Linked DNA regions of Kluyveromyces lactis. The main gene of each other region encodes a partner of the protein of the gene in region 2 in a complex. Links are inferred from orthologs where the notes say so. Each region holds a gene or a part of one and is shown on either strand. Other genes may lie near its edges.

Region 1 (3,182 bases), on a different chromosome or scaffold from region 2:
TAAATAAAAAAAAGAATATTGAAATAATTTTATTATTAATTACTATTTAACATTTTTAAAATTAAAATATTTTCCCCGCGGACTCGTCCCCGGGATACCCCGGGGACGAGCCGCGGGGTTTATATTATTTTCATAATTAAATAATACTTTTTTTAATTTTAAACTATTACTCTTCCCCACGCGGCTCATCCAACCCTTTATGAGGGTTGGATGATGCCGCATTTGCGGGGCTTCTAAATCTAAATATTCAAATAATAAATCCCCCGCGGTCTCATCCTCTGGGATTACCAGAGGATGAGCCGCGGGGTTAATTATGTTTTGATTTTACTTCATTATAACATTTATAATATTCTTCCCCACGCGGTACACCCAACCCTTTATAAGGGTTGGGTGATGCCGCATTTGTGGGGCTTATTTTGATTTAAATTTAATCATTATTAATATTTTGAGAATAATATCTTTTTTGATTATTATTAAAAATAGATAAAAAAGAATATTGATTAGTTAAATTATTACCTTTAATAATTACTTTGCATTTTTTCTACCTACATAGAATAATACATTTTCAATTGTTGATACAACTGGTACAATAACTAAGAAGTATGCAAAATAAATTACAGTAGCAATTTGTCCCATTACAACAAAAGGAGGCTCTACATGACATTCTCCTAAGTGGCCTAATAATACAAAGTTAGCAATAAATAAGAAGAAGAAGAATTTAGAGAATACTTTAAATGCGTTACCTCTAATAACACTTCTATCTGTAATAGGTAATACTAATAAAATTAAAATAGCACCAAACATAGCTAATACTCCTAATAATTTATCAGGTACTGATCTTAAAATTGCATAGAATGGTAATAAATATCATTCTGGTACAATAGATGCAGGTGTAACTAATGGATTACCAGGAATATAGTTATCTGGATGTCCCATTGTATTAGGTGAGAAGAATACAAATAATGAGAAGAAGAATAAGAATACAAATACAGTAATTAAATCTTTAAAAATAAAGTAACCATGCATTGGTAATCTATCTAAATTACCTGTAACACCTAAAGGATTTGATGAACCATGTGTATGTAATGCCATAAAATGCATAATTACAAATGCAGCAATAATAAATGGTACTAAATAATGGAAAGCGAAGAATCTTTGAATAGTAGGATTAGAAACTGAGAATCCACCTCATAATCATGATACAATATCATTACCAATAAATGGAATAGCTGAGAATAAATTAGTAATAACTGTAGCACCTCAATGACTCATTTGTCCATATACACAACAGTATCCTAAGAAAGCAGCAGCCATTGTTAATACAAAAATAATAACACCAACATTTCATACTAATGTTCTAGGAGCTCTATATGAACCATAATATAAACCTTTACCAATATGAATATACATACAAATAAAGAAGAATGATGCACCATTAGCATGAGCATATCTAATAAATCATCCTCCTTGAACATCTCTCATAATATGTTCAACAGCTGAGAATGCTAATTCAATATTAGATGAATAATGCATAGCTAAAAAAATACCTGTACAAATTTGAATTACTAAACATAATCCTAATAATGATCCTAAATTTCATCAATAATTAATTGATGAAGGTTGTGGTGAATCAATCATATAACTATTTAATAAATTTAAATAAATATTAGATTTTCTAAATGACATATTTTATTTGAATTATTATATTTTTAAATATATATATAAATATAATATATATTAAATATATAATATAAATATTATATATTCCCCACGACGAACGTCGTGGAGGAGCCGCGGGGCCCTTATATAAATATGACCCCCGCGGATCACCCGACCCTTTATGAGGGTCGGGTGATGCCACGGGAGAAAGGGATAAATATATAATTATAATAATATAATTATGTATAATTTATATATATTATTTATATGAATATCCCCGCGAAATTATTTATAATTTCGCGGGAGATAAATAAATATTTTATAAATATAATATTATTGTATTATATATATAATAATATATATATAATAATTATTATAATAATATAATAAATATATTATTATCAAGTAATTTGATACATATATAATATATATGTATATTGATTATTATTTTATAATTATATATTACTTCTAATATATCCCACGGATATACTTGGTAATATATCCAGCCCCCGCGACATGACCCTTTATGAGGGTCATGTCGCGGGGGAGAAGGGATTATAAAATATATAACCTTAATCGGAATTGAACCGATATTTTCAACATGAAGAGATGATGTCGTAACCATTAGACGATAAGGTCTGTTATATTAGAGATTCGAACTCCAAACCTTTCGATTACAAAACGAACGCTCTACCAATTGAGCTAATATAACTACTATTAACTTATATATAGATTCCCCCCGCGGCCTCACCCAACCGTAGGGTTGGGTGTGCCGCGGGGGGTAAGTTAATTAAAACTATCTCGCTAAATTATCCCTATTTAAGGGAACTAATTTATTATTTTATATATATAGAATATATAAAAATATATATATATATATTATGAAAATATATGCCTAAAAGGCGAATTGTAATTTCTTCCCCGGGGCTCACAACCTAGGTTGTGAGCCGCGGGGTAATCATTATTTATTAATTTTATTATATAATATATTAATATATAATATACAAAAATATATATATATATATAATCCTCGTATTTCAACCCATAAGGAATTGGGAGATTATATAATATGTAATAAAAGGGTATATATAATAATAGAATACCCCGCCATATTGCCAATATTGGCAATATGGCGGGATTATGTAAATATATAAACTCCCGCCATTAGTCGTATGACTAATGGCGAAATACTAATTTATTATTATTTTTATATAAATAATATTATTATATAAAAATTTATATCAAAGCCCTATACGAGGTATTTGGTTACTATTAATATAGATATAATATCTATAAACCCCCCCCTTAAAAGGGGGGTAAGATATTCCCGCCATAATATATCCCTTAGGGATATATTATGGCGGAGTATAAATAATAATATCAATATTTATTATTAAAAAAATTATTATATATATTTATATATATTTTAATAATTAATATTATTAAGAATATATATATAATTCTTTATTTAATTTTAGCCCCCCCCGCGGTCTCTCACCCAACGAATGTAGGGTGATGAACCG
Region 2 (2,045 bases):
TGAGAATCGACTAATGTTTTGATATTGGAAACTCGTTAAAATCCGTTTTATTGGATTAAATACCCTTTACGGGGGGAAAGTAATAACGTCACGTGACTTTCATTAGTGGAGAAACTTATCCATCTATATATATATATACATGTAAAACAGGCAAGCACACCGATCGTCGACATATGAGCACGACGATCACGCCCTTGACACGCAGATGTAAGTATTCATAATAAAGTAGTTTTTCAAATTCGTATAAACAGTGAAGTATAGAAGATATATTTGAGGGGAGTAACCACTTGATGAAAACCTCCAATAAATACGGTACTGAGCCAAACCCGAAAAGAGAGAATTAAAAACCGAGGATGTGAACTTCCACTCGCTCTCTCCTTTTCAATAGTATCTAATAATACTGAAACTCTTTTCGATGGCCTGACATGATAAAAAATGTTCTTGTGACGTGAGAAATATATCTTGAATGTTGATAAAAGTGTCAAAAGGGTGCTGCCGCACCTCTTTTTCCATGTAAGCTTTTAAACCTGGACAGAAGAAAGAAAGGAACTAGTCTAGTGTTGTAATAACATTGTTTAAACGTTAACTCTTTCTAATTCTTCTCTACCGGCCTTAGTGTACAAGTAAGCGTTGTAGTCTCTGCAGTTGACCCACCAAGCCCAGTACAAAGCAGCTGGAAGAGCCATGTACAAAATTTGGCTCTTAACTCTTCTAAATGTGTTAAAAACAGCGTTGTGGAAGATGTTGTTCAATGGCTTTTGAGCATATGGAGAAACAGTGTATGTAGTAATACCCTTTTGGGCTGGGGAACCTATACTACCCCACCAGCCCATGTAAGCCTTAGCATGTGGACCACCCATTTCGTCTTAATATTTTAATTCTTGGTCTTGCGGATACTGAGTCAGAGACTAAACTATGTATAATAGTTTTCCATCTTTGCATCATTTGAATATCTGAATAAGTAGAGGTTTAAAGCTTATTTCTTATATATAAAGCTTTTTCCCTCGCTGGAAGATTTTCAAGACTTCGTCTTTTAGAAGCGAAAAGGCCGAAACGTAGTATTATTGGTTCGTATACAGTGATACTGGTAGTGAAACTTACTTTTATTTATTTAGTTGCACGTGATCTAAAATGGTTAGATAATATATGCTTTACCTACTTCTTTCTGTGGTATATTTTGTTCAAGAACAAGGTTAGAACTTCGGCCTTGAACCCACGGGATTCGTCGATGTTAGCGATTTTCTCTCTTAAGTTGGAAGCGGTTTCTTCTTCGTACTTGTGGTAGATGTCTTGGATGTTCAATTCGTTGAATACAGCTCTACATTTTTGTTCCTTTTCAGAATCCTTTCTACCGTAGTTTTCGTCCAAGATATCTCTTTGTTCTTTTGTAGCATTCTTCAATGCAACGTTGATGACCCAAGAACATTTGTTGTCTTGGATATCGGTACCAATCTTACCGATATCTTCTGGTTTACCGAAACAATCCAAGAAATCGTCTTGGATTTGGAAATATTCTCCCAATGGGATCAATACGTCGCTGGCCTGTTTCAAGTCCTTTGAGTCGGTAATACCGGCAGCAAACATGGCCAGTGCCACTGCTAAGTAGAAAGAGTAGTATGCAGTCTTGAAGATAACGATGAAGGAATGCTTTTCCAAAGAGAACTTGGATAAGTCGACTTTGTCCTCTGGTGCAGTGATCAAATCCAACAACTGACCCAATTCGGTTTGAAAAGTAACGTCATGGAACAATTCCAATAGATCGACGTAGTATGGCTCTGTTCTGAAGTGTTTCTTCAACAGACAGTAGATGGCACCTTCCAACATGAATGCATCGTTGATCGCAATGTCGCCGACGTTTTCCACTTTGTACCAACATGGTTGTCCTCTTCTTGTGATCGATTGGTCCATCATGTCATCAGCAACCAAGAAGTACGCTTGCAACAGTTCAATACACCAACCAAGGATGGCAACCTTCTTGTACTCTTCTGCAGATAGTTCGCTCACTGACTTGTAACCTTTCAAAAGCGCGTATGTGTCAACGACAG
Region 3 (3,392 bases), on a different chromosome or scaffold from region 2:
TGTACCATATTGGACAATCTTGATAAGCAAGTTGACCAAGCATATATCAAACGTATTCGTGCGCCGAAAAATAAGAAAAAGAGGCAATATACACCTGGGCCGGATTCATTAGCAACCGGATCAACATCTCAGGCAGCTATTCAGGCAGCTCACCAACAAGCCGCTAACTCGAGTCTAAAATCTTTGTTGGATAAGAGACAAAGATGGATAAGCAAGATTGGTCCTTTGTTTGACAAACCGGAAGTCATGAAGCGTATTCCAAGAGATAGCGTATTCAAGGATATAGACCAAGATGAGGAAGAAGAAGAAGCAGATGTGTTCAGCAATAATGCCAACGGGAAGGAAGAAGAATTAAATGAAACTCTACAAAATAAAGAAGAATAAATTGAAATAACTGACAGACTGGCGTCAAGCTGGTTTTTGGTGCTAGCTAGTGGAATTAGACCCTTTATTATATAGAATACGTGGAATAAATGTACCTGTCTATATTTGATGCAATTATGATTTATGATATTTACTTGTTACTTAGTTATTCATATTAGTCTGAATGTATGATAAAGATGGAACCGTTTTGACATTACCTAGAGCAACCATAGAGACAGGTTTATTGAGCAGCCTATAATTTGCCCACATTATAATGTCCTGCTTTGTGATTTTATTAACTTGTTCGAAAACCTCCTCTGGTGATAACCTTTTACCAGTCGTTACTACTTGTCTTCCAATATCTTCAGCTATTGCAGTCGATCCATCTAGAGAAAGAAGTAGAGAGGCTTTTAATCTTGCTTTCGCTCTGTTTACCTCATCGTCCGAGATACGTCCGGACCGAATTCTTTTCCACTCTTTTAAAATTTCGTCAATGATTAACTTTATATCGTGTTGTTGAGAATCAGCCACAATGTACATACCCCACAAACCGGAGTCGGCGTACGATGTTGAGAATGACATGTAGGAATTAGTTAAAGTACCATTTTCAGATGCAGCAACAGCAAGAGGTGAAGGAGAATTAGTACCTGTGCCCAAGGCCCTGTCCCAGTTACCAATGATTGCCTGGGTGCAAAGAGCAGTAAAGTAATCTGGTGCCGACCAGGATACACCTTCAATAGCTAACGCAATGTGGGTAGTTGGTAATGTATCTTCTTGAATCTTGAGTTCATTCCCATGGAAAACAGGCAAAGGACCTCGTGGAGAACCTAGAGGAATTGGGGCTTCTGATTTTCTAACGTGTCCAAAATACTTACCTGCGTATTCTACCAATTTATCATGATCGACTGCACCTGTACCGACAAGTACCATTCTGTCACCCGTATAATGTTTTTCGATGAACTCTTGTAAATCAGATCGTTGAATACTCTTTATATTTTTGATAGGCCCTAAAATAGTTCTTCCTAAAGGCTGATTCTTATAAGTGATTGTATGGAGATGGTCGAAAACAACCTCGTCGTACATCTTATCAACTTCTTCAGACTCCCTAATAATGACGTCTCTCTCCCTTTCAATGGCCTTTGGATCCAATACTGAACGAGTTAAGATATCTGCAAGAATATCGACTGCCTTTGGTATATCTTGTTTGAGTGATTTTGCATAGTACACAGTGTTTTCCCTCGAAGTATAGGCATTTAAATGTGAACCGATATTCTCAATCTCCAGTTCAATACCAGTTTGTGATCTGTTTTGTGTACCCTTGAAGGCTAAATGCTCCAAAAAATGTGCTGTTCCATTATTCTTCTCATTCTCGGCACGAGATCCGGTATCAACAAAGATACCTACAGTGGCAGTATTTGTGTTTGGCAAAGATTCGGATGCAACTGTTAATCCATTAGGTAGCACTGATGTGGCCGTTTTTGATAAACAACCATTAATTTCAGTCGAGTAGCGGAGCCTACCAAGGCCCACAGAGGCAACAGAACGCCGTGCGCTTGCCAGGGCTCTGAACATTGTGACAAGTGGGAACTATTCGTAAAGTGAAAGAATATGTAATTTATAGCAACAGGTTATGGCCAACAACTACTCACTTGTTTTACCGAACACTAAGCTATTTAGCAACGTATATGAACAAATATATATATATACTCATGTACTTGAAAAGATTGCCTAGATCATATTTAGACTTTACTAATAAATACTGAGCACATACTAAACACAACAGACAACGAATAACATATTACCCGGATAAAAAGTAAGATGCACGTGATTCGCTAAATCCCGGGTAACGATAATATTTGTGCACGCTCTTGGTGTATATTTTTTCAGATCGAAAGTTAGATGTTACCCGCTCTGGAAGTCACTCAAATTCCGATTTCTTCCGCAAAGCGAGTCACACTTTTCATTACCCTCCGAGATGACCCGAAACTTACTAACAGAAAATTACCAAGCAGCACTTGATGATCATAGAAAGAAGGAGTCCGCTATTTGTCCGGAGCCGATTAAGGAACCTACGGAGAAAACAGTGGAAACTGGTAACGATGCGCGCAAAAAAATGAAAATAAAAAAGCGTAAGCATGATACAATAGACAGAACTATTCATTGTTCTCAATATATATATATATATATATATATATATATATATATTTATATTTAACCACATATACGTAGATTCAACAGAGCCTATTAAAATCACTTTAAACTCTGATCGCCATTGTTTTACGAGAATAATTGTTTTTACTGTGGGGATAGTCTATTTCATACTCTATACTCGAAGAACTTTTTGATAACCTAGTGACGTTGTCTTGGTTTCGCCATTCACTTCATTAAATTTTCGGCTTTACTTTTCCCTTTCAATCAGAACCTCTGAATTTGAAACTTTATTAGCTTGATTATAGAAGGTCGACACTTCTGTACTGTCCAGCAATTACCACATCTTTCCTGCTATATTCCATCCTTTTGACGAAACAATAGGATAATTTGAGTATTGAGGAATTTCCGATAAAAATACACTCTACTTACAACCAGTACTGAAGAATAAATAAAGATGTTTTCAAGAACCGTGAAGTTGACTCAAGCAAGAGCTTTCCAAACTACTGCCAGAAAGAATTTGACCATTCCATTCTTATCTACCTTGCCACAAGCTCCGGGCGGTGTGAAGGGTAACGTTAACGATGCTTACGTCCCTCCAGCTCCAGAAAAACTACACGGATCATTGCATTGGGATTTTGAAAGAGTTTTGGCCATTTCCTTAATTCCATTGGTCACCGTACCACTAGCTGCCACTGGTTCCATTTCTACTGTTTTGGACACTGCATTGGCTTCCGTACTATTAGGTCACTGTTACGTTGGTTTCCAATCCTGTATCATCGATTATATTCCAAGCAGAGTTTACGGTAAGAATCACACATACGCCATGTACTTGCTTGGACTAGGTTCTCTATTCTCCGTTGTCGGTATCTACCACATGG

What was found. The genes of interacting proteins can lie anywhere in the genome.
Region 1: the proteins of QCR8 (region 2) and CYTB are in contact, whole or in part, in a crystal structure (PDB 4PD4), measured with the Saccharomyces cerevisiae proteins. The link is inferred for Kluyveromyces lactis from reciprocal best matches to the Saccharomyces cerevisiae genes QCR8 and COB. Residues at the interface, in NP_012369.1 of Saccharomyces cerevisiae: Thr8, Tyr9, Met10, Gly11, Trp12, Trp13, Met16, Gly17, Gly18, Pro19, Gln21, Gln55, Tyr58, Val59, Ile61, Pro62, Ala63, Ile65, Tyr66, Trp69, Trp70, Gly73, Asn74, Tyr76, Asn77, Leu80, Tyr81, Asn93; in NP_009315.1 of Saccharomyces cerevisiae: Ser15, Asp19, Ser20, Pro21, Pro109, His202, Ile203, His204, Gly205, Asn215, Leu216, Arg218, Ile219, Pro220, Val320, Lys323, Phe324, Phe327, Ile328, Phe331, Asn332, Leu335, Gln338, Cys342, Glu345, Val346, Pro347, Tyr348, Met351, Ile354.
Region 3: the proteins of QCR8 (region 2) and MAS1 are in contact, whole or in part, in a cryo-EM structure (PDB 8ABH), measured with the Yarrowia lipolytica proteins. The link is inferred for Kluyveromyces lactis from reciprocal best matches to the Saccharomyces cerevisiae genes QCR8 and MAS1. Residues at the interface, in XP_504875.1 of Yarrowia lipolytica: Trp10, Trp11, Gly12, His13, Met14, Gly15, Ser16, Pro17, Pro18, Gln19, Lys20, Gly21, Ile22, Ala23, Gly24, Tyr25, Thr26, Ile27, Ser28, Pro29, Phe30, Ala31; in XP_500073.3 of Yarrowia lipolytica: Met176, Val264, Gly265, Ser266, Glu267, Val268, Arg269, Leu270, Arg271, Asp272, Asp273, Thr274, Thr356, Thr357, Asp447, Glu457, Gly458, Tyr460, Tyr462, Asn463, Arg466.

What each region holds. Positions count from the first base shown.
Region 1 is NC_006077.1:20,142-23,323, forward strand, and holds CYTB (apocytochrome b), read right to left. Parts: upstream 1,687-3,182; coding exon 526-1,686; downstream 1-525. UniProt on the Saccharomyces cerevisiae protein: Component of the ubiquinol-cytochrome c oxidoreductase, a multisubunit transmembrane complex that is part of the mitochondrial electron transport chain which drives oxidative phosphorylation.
Region 2 is NC_006037.1:609,870-611,914, reverse strand, and holds QCR8 (ubiquinol--cytochrome-c reductase subunit 8), read right to left. Parts: upstream 861-2,045; coding exon 576-860; downstream 1-575. Other genes in the region: ERG20 (bifunctional (2E,6E)-farnesyl diphosphate synthase/dimethylallyltranstransferase), read right to left, coding at 1,156-2,045. UniProt on the Saccharomyces cerevisiae protein: Component of the ubiquinol-cytochrome c oxidoreductase, a multisubunit transmembrane complex that is part of the mitochondrial electron transport chain which drives oxidative phosphorylation.
Region 3 is NC_006040.1:1,526,283-1,529,674, forward strand, and holds MAS1 (mitochondrial processing peptidase), read right to left. Parts: upstream 1,936-3,392; coding exon 526-1,935; downstream 1-525. Other genes in the region: histone acetyltransferase NGG1, read left to right, coding at 1-384; KLLA0_D18117g (CybS family protein), read left to right, coding at 2,969-3,392. UniProt on the Saccharomyces cerevisiae protein: Catalytic subunit of the essential mitochondrial processing protease (MPP), which cleaves the mitochondrial sequence off newly imported precursors proteins. Preferentially, cleaves after an arginine at position P2.